Arabidopsis thaliana: one gene and its partner. The protein of the gene in region 1 interacts with the protein of each later gene in a pairwise test. Each region holds a gene or a part of one and is shown on either strand. Other genes may lie near its edges. The genes, in order: ckl3 and ACBP4.

What was found.
Region 2: the proteins of ckl3 (region 1) and ACBP4 interact in binary tests that used the Arabidopsis thaliana proteins (3 or more experiments, as listed by UniProt).

What each region holds. Positions count from the first base shown.
Region 1 is NC_003075.7:14,249,139-14,256,463, reverse strand, and holds ckl3 (casein kinase I-like 3), read right to left. Parts: upstream 5,330-7,325; 5' UTR 5,114-5,329; coding exon 5,038-5,113; intron 4,942-5,037; coding exon 4,901-4,941; intron 4,699-4,900; coding exon 4,629-4,698; intron 4,540-4,628; coding exon 4,391-4,539; intron 4,288-4,390; coding exon 4,192-4,287; intron 4,115-4,191; coding exon 4,044-4,114; intron 3,934-4,043; coding exon 3,872-3,933; intron 3,797-3,871; coding exon 3,733-3,796; intron 3,607-3,732; coding exon 3,522-3,606; intron 3,443-3,521; coding exon 3,316-3,442; intron 3,209-3,315; coding exon 3,132-3,208; intron 3,044-3,131; coding exon 2,986-3,043; intron 2,911-2,985; coding exon 2,774-2,910; intron 2,551-2,773; coding exon 2,416-2,550; 3' UTR 1,518-2,415; downstream 1-1,517. Other genes in the region: AT4G28890 (RING/U-box superfamily protein), read left to right, coding at 1-27; AT4G28870 (mutator transposase MUDRA protein), read right to left, coding at 5,744-6,043; ckl4 (casein kinase I-like 4), read right to left, coding at 7,267-7,325. UniProt on the Arabidopsis thaliana protein: Protein kinase involved in blue light responses (e.g. hypocotyl elongation and flowering) by phosphorylating CRY2 to reduce its stability.
Region 2 is NC_003074.8:1,559,328-1,568,757, forward strand, and holds ACBP4 (acyl-CoA binding protein 4), read left to right. Parts: upstream 1-2,343; 5' UTR 2,344-2,552; coding exon 2,553-2,711; intron 2,712-3,241; coding exon 3,242-3,312; intron 3,313-3,743; coding exon 3,744-3,807; intron 3,808-3,899; coding exon 3,900-3,971; intron 3,972-4,084; coding exon 4,085-4,279; intron 4,280-4,380; coding exon 4,381-4,458; intron 4,459-4,580; coding exon 4,581-4,691; intron 4,692-4,879; coding exon 4,880-4,946; intron 4,947-5,049; coding exon 5,050-5,111; intron 5,112-5,368; coding exon 5,369-5,508; intron 5,509-5,684; coding exon 5,685-5,811; intron 5,812-5,890; coding exon 5,891-6,005; intron 6,006-6,142; coding exon 6,143-6,231; intron 6,232-6,371; coding exon 6,372-6,455; intron 6,456-6,537; coding exon 6,538-6,720; intron 6,721-6,909; coding exon 6,910-7,056; intron 7,057-7,228; coding exon 7,229-7,288; intron 7,289-7,534; coding exon 7,535-7,720; 3' UTR 7,721-8,009; downstream 8,010-9,430. Other genes in the region: AT3G05410 (Photosystem II reaction center PsbP family protein), read left to right, coding at 1,817-2,129; AT3G05425 (uncharacterized protein), read left to right, coding at 8,147-8,278; AT3G05430 (Tudor/PWWP/MBT superfamily protein), read left to right, coding at 8,418-9,430. UniProt on the Arabidopsis thaliana protein: Binds medium- and long-chain acyl-CoA esters with very high affinity. Can interact in vitro with oleoyl-CoA, barely with palmitoyl-CoA, but not with arachidonyl-CoA. May function as an intracellular carrier of acyl-CoA esters.

The DNA of each region.
Region 1 (7,325 bases):
ACAACACACCAACACTTTGATGTTTAGTTTCTTTATTTTTCTTAAAAATTTGCAATTCTTTTTCAGATTCAATTTGAGACTATTTTCCCATAATTAGTAGATACAAGTTTTGATTTTAAGTTATGTTCAGAGAATTCTACTAATGTTAATACTTAATACATGTTAGTTGGATCAAACGAAGCTGATTTGTGTAAATAAGATAGATTTATGTATAAACAAAGCTTTGACTTATAATATATGAATTGATTGAATTATTGCTGGATTTAATTTTAAAAAGAGCTCAATAATTGTTTTCAATAAGGAACATGTCAGCTTACCTGGTTACAGAAGCAACCAGGCTCATTTTCAGTTTCATTGTTATTACTGCAATATTTTTTGTTCAACATGTATTATACACAACTATTACAAATAAAGTAATAACTTGGCTACATGTTATGATTTTGTTATGAATGCATCATATATTATACATTTATAACTTTAAGACTTTAATACACACATAACTCACTCACACATACTGTATATGATATATGAATTATTGCTTCTAACTCTATTTATTTAGTTTTCCTTTTCATTCAAAATAAAACACAACTACTCTTGGTTTTGTCTCTTGACAATTGTATTCTTTTATTTGGACGAACATTATTACTAAATCATGTAATTGATTACAAAAATACATATAAGTAGGTCAACTAACTACTAATAATAATATTTTAATTTCATAACAAACACTACATTAGCCAATTTGATTATTAATATACAATTTTATATTCAAGACCTAGCAATTTCCTTTTGATTATCTTACTTTCTTTTTCCAGTTACCAATTATGAAATTATATGCCCAATCATATAAGATATATTTATAATTATCTGATGTGGGATTCTGACTCCTCTGATTTTTTCTTTGTAATATATTTATATGCCACTAAACTTAAAATAGATGTATATTTTGTCCTTCATATAAGCATATAACAGTCTTAAAAATAAGTGGAACACCTTCTTCTTTTTCATGTCTTATTTTGGAACCTCTTTCTTAACTTTGTAACGAAGGACACCACGATGGAACCTGGGCTGCTTCGAGTGCAGGTGCAGCACCGTAGATGAAACTTTTTAAGTTTGTATGATGTAAAAACAAAATGGGAAACGATTCAAAGAACATGTTATAATGCGAAATAGGTAGATGAGGCCAAAGATTGTTGTTATGTAAAAAGCAAGTCATTGCATCATCATACTTATCATGTGGTCCAACTTATGCCGATTACGAATGGAAGTTAAATTTAAAATAAATTATTAAATAGAACCTAACGAAACTATTTTATATTATAGGTGTATTAGGTTGAATATGGACCTGTTTTAGAATAACGCCCCTTTCTTTCTAGTAGAGTTCAGTCTTCTTTGGAGTTGGTATCGGATCAAATTTTCGTTTAAAAACAATAATGATGTAGCTTAATTCAAATTGTAGTAAATTACTTTCAATTTAATTTTTGTTTTGGTTTTCAATTACTTAGGTTCCGTCTGGATTTGATTTCAATTTTCACAATATATAAAGATAACAGAAATATTTAAAAGCAAATATTGAAGAGTATATGATACTAATTACTAAACACTATGAAGAAATTTAAGACAAACTTACTTTAGTTTACACAAATTGGATTTTCCCTTATGGCCTAAGATAGGTTTCCATTACAGCTGTACAAATACAACCTACACCTGGTCACCTGCCTCTTCCATGATGATGATTTCTCCGACCGAGCGCATCAAATCGTTTTTCAACTGGCTTCATGAGCTCTCAAACATTTTATTCTCTCCCAGAATAGTTTCTTACTCACTGTCTCCGAGTTATTTGAATCCCATGTTGACTCTCAAAATCTTTCCTCATAAATCAATTGCACAAAAATAAGAATCGAACTTGGGCGTCTGTGAAAGAAACCTGTGCATTGCTAAGCCTTTTGAAGACTCATCTCAGCTCAAGCTTGGCTCTGGATTTCTGCAAAGAATGACGCTATCCATTAACATGTATACATATATCAAGCTGCAGCAAAAGGTCATTGATCACATAGCAAAGAGTAGCTAAAAATGATATGTATGAATCACATAACAAGATTACACATCCGGGTGTAAGAATTATACAAAGGTTGGGGGAAATCTTTGAATGAAAAGCACACATACACTTTCATGTCTTGTGTGTGTAAACACAAATGCTTCAACCAACGCCTTCTTGTCCACACACACTTCAGAGAATTTACATAGAAACCATTGCATCTTTCTTCCAGCCAAAGGTGGAGGAGATACAAAGGTGTTAGTGACACCAAGTTCTGATTTCTGCTGTAGTTTCAGAGGTGAATTAAGGGCACGGAGTCACATTAACAGCGCATCATCTCACTCACCATTTCAGGAAAAAGCTACATTTTCTTTGCATCATTTCTCTGGAGACATGAATGACGAAGTCCAACCAGTTCTATTCCCACTCCCATATCCAGAATTTGAGGTTTCGGGTCCGACATTTCTTTTTGAGGTACCCGCAGGAGATAATGAAGTGGATGGCATGTTCATCTGCAATGGGTTTTCAGTAAAATAACAGTCAAGGGAACTCATCTCGAAGATCAATATATTGTTTCATTAATTCATGACAATTGACAAAGCGATACTGGTAAAATCAGTTTTCAGGGAACCATGAAGTGTTCTGAGAGTAATACTATACATGACATGCTAACACAAGCAACGAGTTTGCAGAATAAAACGGTTCTTTGGAAGAGGCAAATGCAGAAATACGTACATTCTTGTGGACAGGGTGATCAAACCCCGGAGTCCTCCCTGCAGCAGTATTATTATTTATCTGTGGGCTTGGACCAATGGCATTAGCCGATCTGACGCGTTCAGAGGCCTCGGCTTCATAAGAAATATTTGGTCCTCCTGCCAAACAGAGCGTCAGAAAACAGAGATTTCAAAATAAACAATTGCAACAACAAGCTATTAATTAGAGCTAACCCCGATGATTGCTTGTGTCCACTGGCATTGCACGAGGATTGCTAGACCCAGGAACTGCCTGCAGTAGAAATGACAATACTTTTTGTTAGTAACAAGAAAGGTGACACAGCAGCAAATTAAGATTGAGAAAACATTGAAAACTATACCTGAGACTGATTTCTAGATTTCTGTGCTTGTTGATACTTTATGATAGTCCAGTCAAATATATAGTCGAACTCATATCCTGCAAAAGAGAACATATAATAGTGAGGTAGGTAGATGATGCCGGTGAACCTTATCAGCTGAGTGAACTATGAATGATGAAGAGATGTCTTTATCCAAAGTACCTACCTTCCCGCGAAAATAAATCACGAAAAAGCCGCTTCAAGAATCCATAATCTGGGCGCTGATCAAATGTCAGTGTATGGCAGTAATGAAAATATGATGCAAACTCCACAGGGTGATTTTTGCATAGCACCTGCAATGGGATATCGATATATACTTAGTCGAATGAGGATTAACAAAAAAAGAATCAATCACACAATAGGGAAACATACCTCAATGGGAGTTGATATCTTCTTCTCACAGATTTTATCATACTTTTGCTTCTTGTCAACAGCCTTAAGACCCTGCCATGGAAGACTAGAAAAGGACGTTCATGAAATGAGGAACACAAAAAACAGTTAAGTAAATCTCTAAAAACAAGGAATAGAAATACCCTGCGAAATAACATAATGTTAACTAGTTTCTTTCAAAAAGACAACACACCTTCCTCTTAGGAAATACAGAAGCACATATCCCAGCGATTCTAGATCATCCCGTCGACTTTGCTCTGTGAAGAGAACCCAAAATATGAGCAAAAGCGATTTACTTTTACATAAGGATAAAGAATGCCAGCATTTCTTACCAATTCCAAGATGTGTATTGCAACTTGCATATCGTGCAGTTCCTGTTAAATTCTTGTTTTCCCTGAATATAGCCGAATAAAGGAAATAAGTTGTATAATGATTAACGTGACCGTAAAACTTAAAAACAGATAGATCATTTACAATCTGTATATTGAACCAAGGCCACAATACCTGTAAGGGATGTGGCGGTTGGTGTTGGCATCCCGATATCTTTTGGCAAGTCCAAAGTCAATTAGATAAACCTGAAAAATGAGACTTATCAATCATACCATACTCTACTTATGGCATCTGATGAAGATAAGAAGTTGCAGAAATATACCTGATTTGCTTTCCGACCTAGGCCCATGAGGAAGTTATCGGGTTTAATATCTCTATGCAGATATCCTTTCGAATGTACAAATTCTATTCTTGTTAGCTGTAACAGCGGGATAAGAAAATCGGAAGCACATTAGATAATCAATGTATAAGTCAACAGATATTATAAATAGCCTAATGAATAGTTGAAAGTCATGCCATACCATTTGATCAGCCAACATCAAGACTGTCTTTGGTGAGAATTTCCTCCCACAGTAGACGAAAAGATCTTCGAGACTTGGACCGAGCAAATCCATCACTAAAGCATTCTCTGTTCCATCAACTCCAAACCATTTTATGCGCGGAATTCCACCTGACACATAACATAAAAATTAGTATTGTACTGCTAATGAATCCCTCCAATGTCCAACAACTGAGAAAAGAGAGGAAAGAGAATCATACTTCCTCCTTCAAGAATTCTATATAGCTTAGCTTCATAGAGAAGTTGAGGATGCTTTGTTTTACTGTTCTCCTGCAAGAGAAAATGATTGAATTAAAAACAAGTGTTAGCTTGAAGAATATATTGCAGCTAAAAAGCACCGAGTTTAAAACCTTGCTCAATTTTAGAGTAAAGCAATTCAAACAAAATCAATTAAGAGACATAGCAGATCCAAATCAAATCTCCAGATTGGATGGATTCAATTCGTCTCAAGGCAAATTGAGCTGGGACTTACGATCTTAACAGCTACGATCTCGAAGGTATCGACGTGCGTAGCTGCGAAAACAACAAACAGAAGAGAAGAGCGTCAATTTCAAATAAAAAAGCAAACTCGGAAAACCAAAGGGACAAGAACAGAGGAGAACACAAAACCTAGAAAAATCTCTCCGAACGAACCACCGCCGATCTTCCGTCCGAGCTTGTACTTGCCGCCGATGATGCGTTCCATGGCAGCTCCAATCAGAACCGAATCTGGATCAAGCGCAAGGATAGAGATAAGGATTTAGGGTTGTTGTTTAGAAGATTGAAATTAGAGGAACTTAAAAACATATATTATTATTTTTGTTTGACTGACATCGGTGGTAGTGACATGGACCCAGGCTTGTTTGAGCCGTAGTAGTGATCCTTCAAAAAAAAATTTGTACACCTAACTACTGCACCATTTTGGGTCCGCCAATCTTTTTTTACCTTATAAACAAACACGAGGGTATTTACGTGATTTTGTAATGTCACGCTGGCACGGTGGATGATTTGATGATTTCCGTTTTTGGGGTCTGCAAAATGATGAAGGTTCGAAAATTTAATGGGTTGGCTGATTTTCGAGTCATAAACTATTTCGATTCTTAGTTTTCACTCCCGGATTTTTGGGCCCTTAAATTTCCACCATCAATTTTCATATTCCTCAAAATTACATCATCTACTTTCGAATTCATGATTAAACATACATTTTCAATTGAACCATTCATTTAACCGGGATTAACCACAAATCCGCGTTTACTGTACCGCGATTGTGATTAACCCGACTAATACCCAGACCCGTTAAGAAAACGACGTCGTTTTCATTCTTCTTCTTTAACTCTCAAATCGATTTGGTAGTCCTCTTCTTTTGACTTTCATCTCTGTCTCCATCGTCTTCTAGATTGACGTCTCCATCAGACGCTATGTCACCATCGTCTTCTCTATTTTCCTCTCCATCAGAAGCTCTGTCTCCATCTATCCCGACGTCCTCTCCCTCGATTCTGGTGGCTTCGTCCTCCTCGACTCCGCTATCACCACTATCACTTCCATCGTCGGCTTCAATGTCACTCTCTGGAGGTTCGAAATCGGGGTCATCTGGATCGCTTTGGTAAATCAATCTTTCCTCCCACCAATTCTTCATTTCTCCCTATTCGAAACCCAAATCGAGACCCAAAAATTCGAACCGAAGAAGAAAACCCCAAATCCCCTTTTGTCTTTCTCTCTCAAGAACCCTAATTTCACAGTGTCGAGATTAAAGAAGAACGACTAAATCGATTTGAGAGTTAAAGAAGAAGAATGAAAACGACGTCGTTTTCTTTCTCTTTTTGATGAGTTAAACGAAATGAAAACGACGTCGTTTTCTTAACGGGTCTGGGTATTAGTTGGGTTAATCGCAATCGCGGTACAGTAAACGCGGATTTGTGGTTAATCCCGGTTAAATGAATGGTTCAATTGGAAATGTATGTTTAAGCATGAATCCAAAAATAGATGATGTAATTTTGGGAATATGAAAGTTGATGGTGGAAATTTAAAGGCCCAAAAGTCCGGGTGTGAAAGCTGAGAATCGAAATAGTTTATGGCTCGAAAATCAGCCAACCCAAATTTAATCCACTAACTAGTTCTCTACCAAATCGATCAATTCTAGGTGTTTGTATTTCAATATTGAGACTACAATTTTATACGTTTTTTTTTTTTAATAATAGCAATTGAAAATGCATGTTTGGATCAAGTCAAGCTTTTTGATATAATTTTTTTCAATGCACAAAATCGAGTAAGAAAAATCAAACACAGAATACCATTAAACTGAATAGGAAATTCAGAGAAAAAAAAAGGGGGAAGTGTTTCTCGGAGCATTCCAGAAGCTAGCCATAGCTTATCCTTTTACGTTCTCGTCAGCTGCACATTAGCTTGATGGTGACATGTCCCTGCCACAAGCAACTCTTGACTCAAGCCTTTGAAGGCATCTCTGCTGAAGCTGCTCATGCTTTGCTCTTGATTTTCTGCAAACAATGTTGATGACACAGCAAACCCAGGTTATGCCCCAACACAGGGAACTACGTACAGAAATACGAACAAAGTTTTATAGAAGAAAACTTGGGAGAATGAATCACAAGAACCAAATTACACGCCCGGTTGCAAGATTTTATACAAAGGTTGAAGTCAGTCATTTGTGAGAATCTTGAAGGAAAGCAAACATAATCTTCATGCCTTTTGTCAAACAGTAAGCTGTTCATGGAAAAACTCCATTCAGATCTTCAACCTCAGTCTAGAGCTTTTCACTGCAGAAATCACAGTTTAGACCCAAAGGCACACATAATCTTGCTCAGCAGATCAGATGAATGATATACTCCAACTTTTTTTGCATCATTTCCCCGGTGACATGAATGGTGAAGTCCAACCGCCGGTTTTATTCCCGCTCCCAA
Region 2 (9,430 bases), on another chromosome or scaffold:
CTCCTGCTTTCTCTTTATCCGAAGTGGAATTCTTTTCGATCGCTTGAGTAGAGACAACGTCATCAATAGAGTTCGTTCGCTCCGTCTCAATGACTTCCTCTGAGGAGATTGTGGGGAACTCATCTTTATCCCCATTCTCCTCCTGATCACTCAGGACAGAGTACCGAGAAGAGGATAAAATTGTTGCTTGGCCAAAAGTTAATGGTTTCCCATTTGACTTTTCTGTACTTTTGCTTCCTTTACCTGGGGAGACTATGGACCAACCATCTCCTTCCGACTGAGATTCTGGTGGTACCACCTTCTCTGCTACCACTTGTTGTTCAAAAACCTCCTGAGAAATCAAAATCGAGTTCTGAATCCCATCCTCTTTATTCCCACTATTAGCTGACTCATGGTCAGCAACTCTCACTGTGGTAGCAGAAGCAGAAGGATCCGCTAAAACTTCACCTTCTTCTAGCTCACTTTCTATCACCAGCGCTGGAGGCTTGAGCTTACTCACACAAACATCCACTAGGTGACCCCACTTACTACAACAAGTGCATTTGGGAGGCAACCAGGGGTAAATAAACTCCACGATAACATCTTTTTCCTCCTCAATTTTGAACCTGTGACACTTTGGAACGTCTTGCGAAAGATTTACTTCAACAAAAACTTTAGCTTCATCAAACTTTGTGCATAATTCTGTTTCAGGATGTAACCGTATTGGATTTCCTACTGAACTTGTAATAAAACTCAAACCATCCCAGGAGAACATGGAATGAGGAACATTCTTCACTGTGACCCACAACGGCATTGTTTTAATCTCTGGCTGGGCTTCTTCTTTAATCGGAGACCACTTGGCAACAATCATTGGTAAACCAGCAATGTTCCACATCCCTCTTCTGACTATTCTCGAACGCGTGGCGGAGTCACGGATTCGAAACTTTACTGAAGTAGAGTCTATCTCATAGACGTCAATCTTAATTGCTTTGTCCCCAAGAGTCCAGATCTTATTGACTATGACATGGATCTTAGCGACATGCGGAGCTTGTGATGGGAACCGTCCCACCAGAAAATCATCCCAGAGAGGGACAGATTCAGTGATAACTTCTTTCGGAACTGCAATGGTTGGGACACCGTCTTGCACAGAGACTTCATATTCATCTTTTTTCAGAGAAGGCCGTTTAGTAACTACTGCTGCATAGGACTTTTGCTGGACAGATCCAGATGGAGAACCAACTGTTCCTGCCTCAGAAGAGACTGGTAAAACCTGGTCGGACATGAGAAACCGACGGCAAGCCGCCGCTGAAACCCTAGCTTGCTGAAAAAGAATGAAAACCCTAGTCGCCAAGAAAATCGCCCTAGAGCTGACGTGTCATTAAAAAAAAAAAACATCATTCTTATAGTAGAAACATTTGATTGTTCTGTGGTAACTGGTAACGACTAAGTGATATGGTTTACTAGATCTTGCAAACAAATCTAATTGATCATGAGAAAAAATTGTAAGACTAGATCGATTATTTTAGTGGTCTAACAACTAGTTTCAAAGTTGTAATTTTCAAGATTGTTTATTACATTTAGTACATGTTTGAAGTGAAACAATATATCTCAATGTAAGTACATGATTCTCTTTACTACTTTGAATCTATCACAGAAGTTAGTGCAGACACCCGATTCGCTATGATTGTTAAGATCATAAAGTGACCTAGATCGATGAGCATCAATGTTTTTTTTTTTCTTTTGCCAATAAGCATCAATGTTTTCTTGACGAGCAATTGTCATTTTATTTCAAGAAGCGGAATCTGTTTTATGAAAGTGTTTATTGTTTACGATATAGAATCGAAGCGTTTGGAGGGCCAAAAGAAGTAGGAGAGGCAATAGTAAGAACAGTGACAGGATCTGGTCAACGAGCAGATTTGAAAGGAACTTTGCTAGAATCAAGTATCAGACAAGATTCAGAGAGAAACTTGAAGTACTACGAGTTGGAGTTTAAAGTCGAATCACCTCTTTTCCGGCGGCATAATGTAGCCGTTTGTTGCGCTCACAGTGGCCGGCTTTATACACTGAACGCTCAAGCGCCAGAGTCAGCTTGGTCAGAGGTGAAATCGGAAATTTACACTACTGCGAAATCGTTCAATATAATTTCTTGAATGTAAAGGATCGGAAAACAAATTGTAAAAACCCAAAAAGAAACAAGATACTACAAAGCAAAGCTTATTTTTTCTTCATATTGATAGGGTCTCTTTGTTTTTCTTAATTAATTCACACTATTGAGTTGATTACGATGATTAAGGTCAAAAATACGAAGTGACAATAAAAAGAGAAAAGTTTCGAGCATAATCATGTCTTCTTGATCGTGCCGCTCGCTATATAAACACTGCACCAAGCAATTACTATAATTTTTGATCAATTAAATATTAAATTTTGAGAATATGTTTCTATATTAATGAAAATAATTTAAAGTAATCATAAGTTTGTATCTTTGAACAAACGAAACTAGAAAACGCCTATCTCTGCTCATTGGCTTCTCCATCTCCGATCAAATCCGCGGTCGTAGTCAGAGAGAGAGACAAATGGCTATGCCTAGGGCAACCTCTGGTCCCGCTTACCCGGAGAGGTTCTACGCTGCTGCATCTTATGTCGGTCTCGACGGATCTGATTCGTCGGCGAAAAACGTCATCTCGAAATTCCCCGATGATACTGCACTACTTCTCTATGCGCTATACCAGCAGGTCAGCAACTTCCATTTCTGATCTCTTCCATTGTTGATCTCACGATTGTGGATTTTGCTTTTGAATTTCACGAGATCTGGTCGTTTGGGTGTTGATTTCTTTGTTTTAGTCACCGATTCATATTCCTCTCGCCGAATTCTTATCGGATTTTAGAAATGACGCACTTTACTTGTCTGATTAGCTGTGCTTGATCGTTATTTTCGATCCTGGTTAGTATATTCGAAATGCTCAGTAAAATGTTACCCGAGATCTCATCACGATTTGATTGGAAACATGATTGAAACAGTTTTATTTTATTAGATCTCAGGGAGCGTTGGTCCGTCAGTCGTAGTTTACTTGGATCTACATTGATTCTATAACTTGATTAGTATAGTCGTAGATGAATTTCTTACGAGGGGGTGAAACTGGCTGTTCCTTAACATAGAGAGAAACGTTCTCTTGTACTAATTATAATGTCGAGTCTACTAGTTTTTATCCCTGGGATAGATAGGCTCAGTGCTGATGATCTCTTGGATTTAACATTGAAACAGGCTACTGTAGGACCATGCAACACTCCGAAACCTAGTGCCTGGAGACCAGTGGAGCAAAGCAAATGGAAAAGGTTAGATTGGGTGCTGTGTTTTGCCCATACTTATCTACGATTAACATTTATGCATTTATCACTGGTTCTTTTATTTCTATTCTTGCGTTTGTGAATCATACTTGTAGGAATATGCTTCATGGTAGATATTAATAGGAGATGTCTTAGATTTCATCAATTACTAGAGCGTAAGAATCCAAATGCATTAGGGAAACGGGAAAGGAGTACTTTAGTGTAAGCTACTAGAGGAAAATAGAAATGCAGGATTTGAATGTGCATCCCTGGGGAAAAAAACTAAGTGCTTACCTATGTTTTGGACCTTTTGGTCTACATTACTGAGGTTGTTAATGCTTACGATCCTTTTTAAAGGAAAATAAGACTTTAAAGTTGTCCTCGTTCCTTTCCTGAAAGATACACATGCTACTGTTCTGAAGCATTTCATATTTACTTAGTTGGCAGGGGCTCGGAACCATGCCCTCCATTGAGGCAATGCGTCTCTTTGTGAAAATTCTGGAGGTAACCGACAAAGAGGTCTATTTTTTTTTTTTTTTTAAAGACTTAACTGGAGCATAACCTTGCTTTCTTCTCTATTGCTCAATTTTTATCAGGAAGATGATCCTGGTTGGTATTCGAGGGCATCTAATGATATTCCAGATCCTGTTGTAGATGTCCAAATTAATGTAAGTTTTGGTATCCCATGGGATTCGATGTCCAAACCATGGGAACTATTACACATATCTTTTGCTTGATTGAAGAAAATTATTTGAGTTTTTTAGTGCATTCATCTTTGTAGCAGAGAGCAAAAGATGAGCCTGTTGTTGAGAATGGGAGCACATTTAGTGAGACAAAAACAATTTCTACGGAGAATGGACGTTTGGCTGAAACCCAAGATAAAGATGTAGTCTCAGAAGACTCAAATACTGTTTCTGTATATAACCAGTGGACTGCACCCCAAACATCAGGTCAGCGTCCAAAAGCTCGTTACGAGGTAATTTATTTTTTCTCTCTCTTTTGAAGAATAAGTAAAAGGTTATGTCATTCATGTATCTTCTGTATTTTTCTAAGTCTTGTTTATTATATTTTTTTCAGCATGGCGCAGCAGTTATTCAAGATAAGATGTATATATATGGTGGAAATCACAATGGCCGTTACCTTGGTGATCTTCATGTAAGCAACCTCTATGGTTTATAAGCATAAGCTCCTAATGTAATTGAGATATTCAGCTCCTAGCTTGACAATACCAGTCCCGGTGACAGTTCCTAAGCAAAGCTTCTGTGGAATGTATACAGGTTCTAGATTTAAAAAGTTGGACTTGGTCAAGAGTTGAAACCAAGGTTGCAACAGAATCTCAGGAAACATCAACTCCGACATTGTTAGCTCCTTGTGCTGGTCATTCTTTGGTAAGTTTATTAACTTTTTCGTTTTGTTTTTGTTATTATCGTTTTGCTTTCCTGCCCAGAAATATTCAGGAGAGGGGTTTCAGCTAAAGCAAAGTATTCTCTTCATGAAAGTCACTTGCTATATTAGTTTGTAATAAAGAAGACTCTAGCTATACATTATTCACTTACCTTCTTTGCTTGTTTTGTAGATAGCATGGGACAACAAGCTGCTGTCTATCGGTGGTCACACAAAGGATCCCTCAGAATCTATGCAAGGTTAGCGTTTATATACCTTTGAAGACGATAATTTGCACATATTTATAAGATTTTTCTGGAATCTCAATGATTACATATCACTTTCTACTGTTTCCTGTCACAGTGAAGGTCTTTGATCCCCATACCATTACATGGTCAATGTTAAAGACATATGGAAAACCACCGGTATATCTTCACTTCTCTCATGTTGTCTCATTTGCTTTCCTGTCACCTTTGTATGAAAATATTACAGTTTTATACAAAAAAAAATTTGGCCGTCAAAAGACAAAAAAATAAAAGTTGTTTTCTTTCCTTACCCTCCCATAATATCTTCAGGGTTAAGGTGCATCTAAATCCAGAATTTCTCCTTGCTAATTTGGAAGTCAAATATGCATTTTGGTTACTTAAATTTAGACTTTCTTATAATTATCTCTTGCTTTTAGGTTTCACGTGGAGGCCAGTCAGTTACAATGGTGGGTAAAACCTTGGTGATATTTGGCGGGCAAGATGCAAAGAGATCACTTCTGAACGATTTGCATATACTTGACCTAGACACGATGACCTGGGATGAGATAGATGCCGTGTAAGATTTTATGATGTTTCTGCATTTTGTTCTCTTTCGAAGAAGTCAAACCCATTTAAGATTAGATATATAACCAGAATATGAATATGTTAGAAATCGACCTCCTATCTCCTTTAGTATCTTAGTCGTTATTGAAAGATTAGCAATTCAGGATTTAAATTGGTGTCAAATTGCAGGGGTGTATCTCCATCTCCGAGGTCTGATCATGCTGCTGCAGTGCATGCAGAACGGTTCCTTCTTATCTTTGGTGGCGGCTCACATGCAACCTGTTTCGATGACCTGCATGTCCTTGATTTGCAAACTGTAAGTTAAGCTAAGAGTCTATTCTTTCAGCTGCTCTCAAACATGCTTTGTCAGCCTCTGATATAATTGTCACATATAGATGGAGTGGTCAAGACCAGCACAGCAAGGTGATGCACCAACTCCAAGAGCTGGACATGCTGGCGTGACAATTGGGGAGAACTGGTTTATTGTTGGTGGCGGTGATAACAAGAGTGGTATGTTAATGCACTTTTCCCTTGGAAATTTTCTCTTCCCAACCGTTCTGTTTATCACCCCCTAGAACAAAAGATATTTGCTTGGGTTTTTTTTTTTGTGTGTGTGGGGTGACTAATTTTGTGACAAATTACTGCAGGGGCATCGGAGAGTGTTGTACTAAACATGTCAACTCTTGCATGGTCGGTCGTTGCTTCAGTTCAAGGACGTGTACCTCTTGCTAGCGAGGTACTTAAATAAACAGACTTTATCCATATTAATTCCCAGATAGCTATACAAATAAACACGGTAGAAGCCTTTTCAAGACTTCGAAAAAAGTCAAGTCATGCTTATTTCATTTCCATCGTCCTTTCCTTTGCTACTGACAGGGATTAAGTTTAGTGGTGAGTTCATACAATGGTGAAGATGTACTAGTCGCTTTTGGTGGATACAATGGACGTTACAATAACGAAGTAGGGACTGTGATCTGAACCCATAAGTTCATTTCTCTTAATTTTTCATTTAGTTCTGCTTCTAATTCTTATCTGGCATTAGATTAATCTTCTTAAACCAAGCCACAAATCAACATTGCAAACAAAGACTCTGGAAGCGCCTTTGCCAGGTAGTCTTTCTGCTGTTAATAATGCCACAACCAGAGACATTGAGTCTGAGGTTGAGGTGAGCCAAGAAGGCAGGGTACGGGAAATTGTCATGGACAATGTTAACCCTGGATCAAAGGTATCTTCTTGTCAAATTTCCCTCCTTAATATATTTTGCATAGCACCACCTTTTGATTTGTTTGAGAGAATTGAAGCATCTTATGCATATATGCTGTGGTAGTGATTGTGTCGACACAGAATATAGTTACTCCAGTCCGGATCATCACCTTCTCGCACTCTTATTATGTTTTGGGTGATTAATCCCCAGGTTGAAGGAAACAGCGAACGCATTATTGCGACTATTAAATCTGAGAAGGAAGAGCTGGAGGCATCACTGAACAAAGAGAGGATGCAGACTCTCCAACTAAGGCAAGAGTTAGGAGAAGCAGAATTACGAAACACAGATTTGTACAAGGTACTAATATTATCACCTTCTTAAAACAGAAGCCGACATGAATAAATTGGTGAACCAATCGTTCATAAAGACTGGTTGCAGCAGTCTTCCAATTGCATTCACATTTAACATCTGAAATCTCGGAATTTTTCCTCGAATATGATATACCTAACTTTGTACTGACATTTTGTAGGAACTTCAATCTGTTCGTGGCCAACTTGCAGCCGAACAATCAAGGTGTTTCAAACTGGAGGTACTAAACCGTAGCCACATCTCTTTTGTACCATAACCTACAGAATTTGGAATCTCGTGAAACCCGTGATTTAATGACTACATATACTCATATTCCAGGATGAATAGGAATCTTGATTAGAACATTCATCCATTGTAACCACTGGATCTATCACATATCTTCTCTGTCATTTATTGATAAGCTTCATCACGTCATAAGAACAAAAACAAAGCAAATCTAATTGGGTCACTTTCTCCGAATCTGCAGGTTGATGTTGCAGAGCTAAGACAAAAGCTTCAAACATTGGAAACACTACAGAAGGAACTCGAACTCCTGCAACGTCAAAAGGCTGCCTCAGAACAAGCTGCAATGAACGCTAAACGACAGGGCTCGGGTGGCGTATGGGGCTGGCTCGCTGGAAGCCCTCAGGAAAAAGATGATGATTCGCCTTGATCATTTTTGGTCCGGTAATGCCATTTTCCTCCGGACGATATTTGCTTTCAGTAAAGAAATATATATAGTTTTTTTTGTCTGAGTCTCTCGCATTGTTTCTTCTTCCAATAAGATATTTTTTTAGCGAGCTTTGATTACTACCGATGTTTAGCTTTGTTCTCTGTTATACAAGTGATTCACCAGAATATTCGTTAACTTTTTTGAAATATTTGTTTTGGGAGTGTCTGACAAAATTATGAAAACTAAATCAGTTTACGATCAGCAATCATAATTTTCTTATATTTACGAGTCTCTTACTCTCTTCACTCTTTAGTCTTCGTTTGCATTAAAAATTAAATTAAATTTACCTCACTTCGTAAGTGGACAAAAAATCACGTTTTAGGCAGCAAAATAAAATAAAATAAAAAGATCACGTTTTTTTGTCCCATGACGTGGCAACCTATTACTGGATGGGAAGTTCGACCGTTCACCATCACCATTTATGACGCTGAGAAGTTACCAAAATGTCCTTCTCACCAAGTGATGCTTTTGTCATCTTCTCCAGCTTTACTCTCATGAAATTTCTTAAATTTTCTCTTCCAGCAAACAATCTCAGGATTTAAACAAAGTTACGCATCTTCTGGCTTCGAGTTGTTTCTAGGGTTTCATTGTTATGAAAGCTCTTTAACACCGAGGGTTCAAGTGTGGTTAGAGAGAAATGAATTCGGCTGAGGTGAATGTGAATCCTAGGGTTTTTGGTGATAGTTTCGTTACTTTTTCTGGCAATGGCTCCGGGAAATTTGAAATGATTGATCAGGCCGAAGCTTTCCTTATGGAGCTTGATTCGGTTGCTGCAGACACTGGAAGTGATGGAAATGGAAATGTCGATTTAGGTTCTCGAGTGTCTAACAGTGAAACGGAACCTAGATTTTGTGAAATGAAAAGAGAGATTAGAGACTCTGATCACCGATTTTATGAGCTCTGCAACGAATCTGGTGAGAAGAAAATGGAGAAAAGGCGAGTTCCGGACTACAAATCTTTCTTATCCGAATTTGACGATTATGTTGCGAGGGAGAAAATGGGTTCTAGAAATTCGAAGGCATTGAGCTATGGTTTTGAAGTGGGAGATATGGTTTGGGGAAAGGTAAAGTCACATCCATGGTGGCCAGGTCAAATATTCAATGAAGCTTTTGCGTCTCCCTCTGTTCGTCGTGTGAAGAAGATGGGTTACGTTCTGGTTGCTTTCTTTGGGGATAATAGTTATGGATGGTTCGATCCTGCTGAGCTTATCCCTTTTGAACCTCATGTGAAGGAGAAATCACAGCAAACTAGTTCGGATCACTTTGCAAAAGCTGTGGAAGAAGCTATGAATGAAGTAGGTAGAAGGTCAGCTCTTGGCTTGACTTGTAAATGTCGGAATCAGTATAACTTTAGGCCTATTAATGCTCAAGGTTACTTTGCTGTAGACGTGCCTGATTACGAGGTCCAAGCTATTTACTCTTCTAAGCAGATTCAGAAAGCTAGGGATAGTTTTTCATCTGTGCAAACTCTAGCTTTTGTGAAGCGGTGTGCATTAGCACCTCAAGAGTGTGATACAGACAGCTTAAAGTCTTTCCAGAAGAAAGTAGCGGTTTGTGCATTCCGTAGAGCAGTGTTTGAGGAGTTTGATGAAACATATGAACAAGCTTTCAGGGCAAGATCTGTATACTGTTTAATGAAGACACATGAACC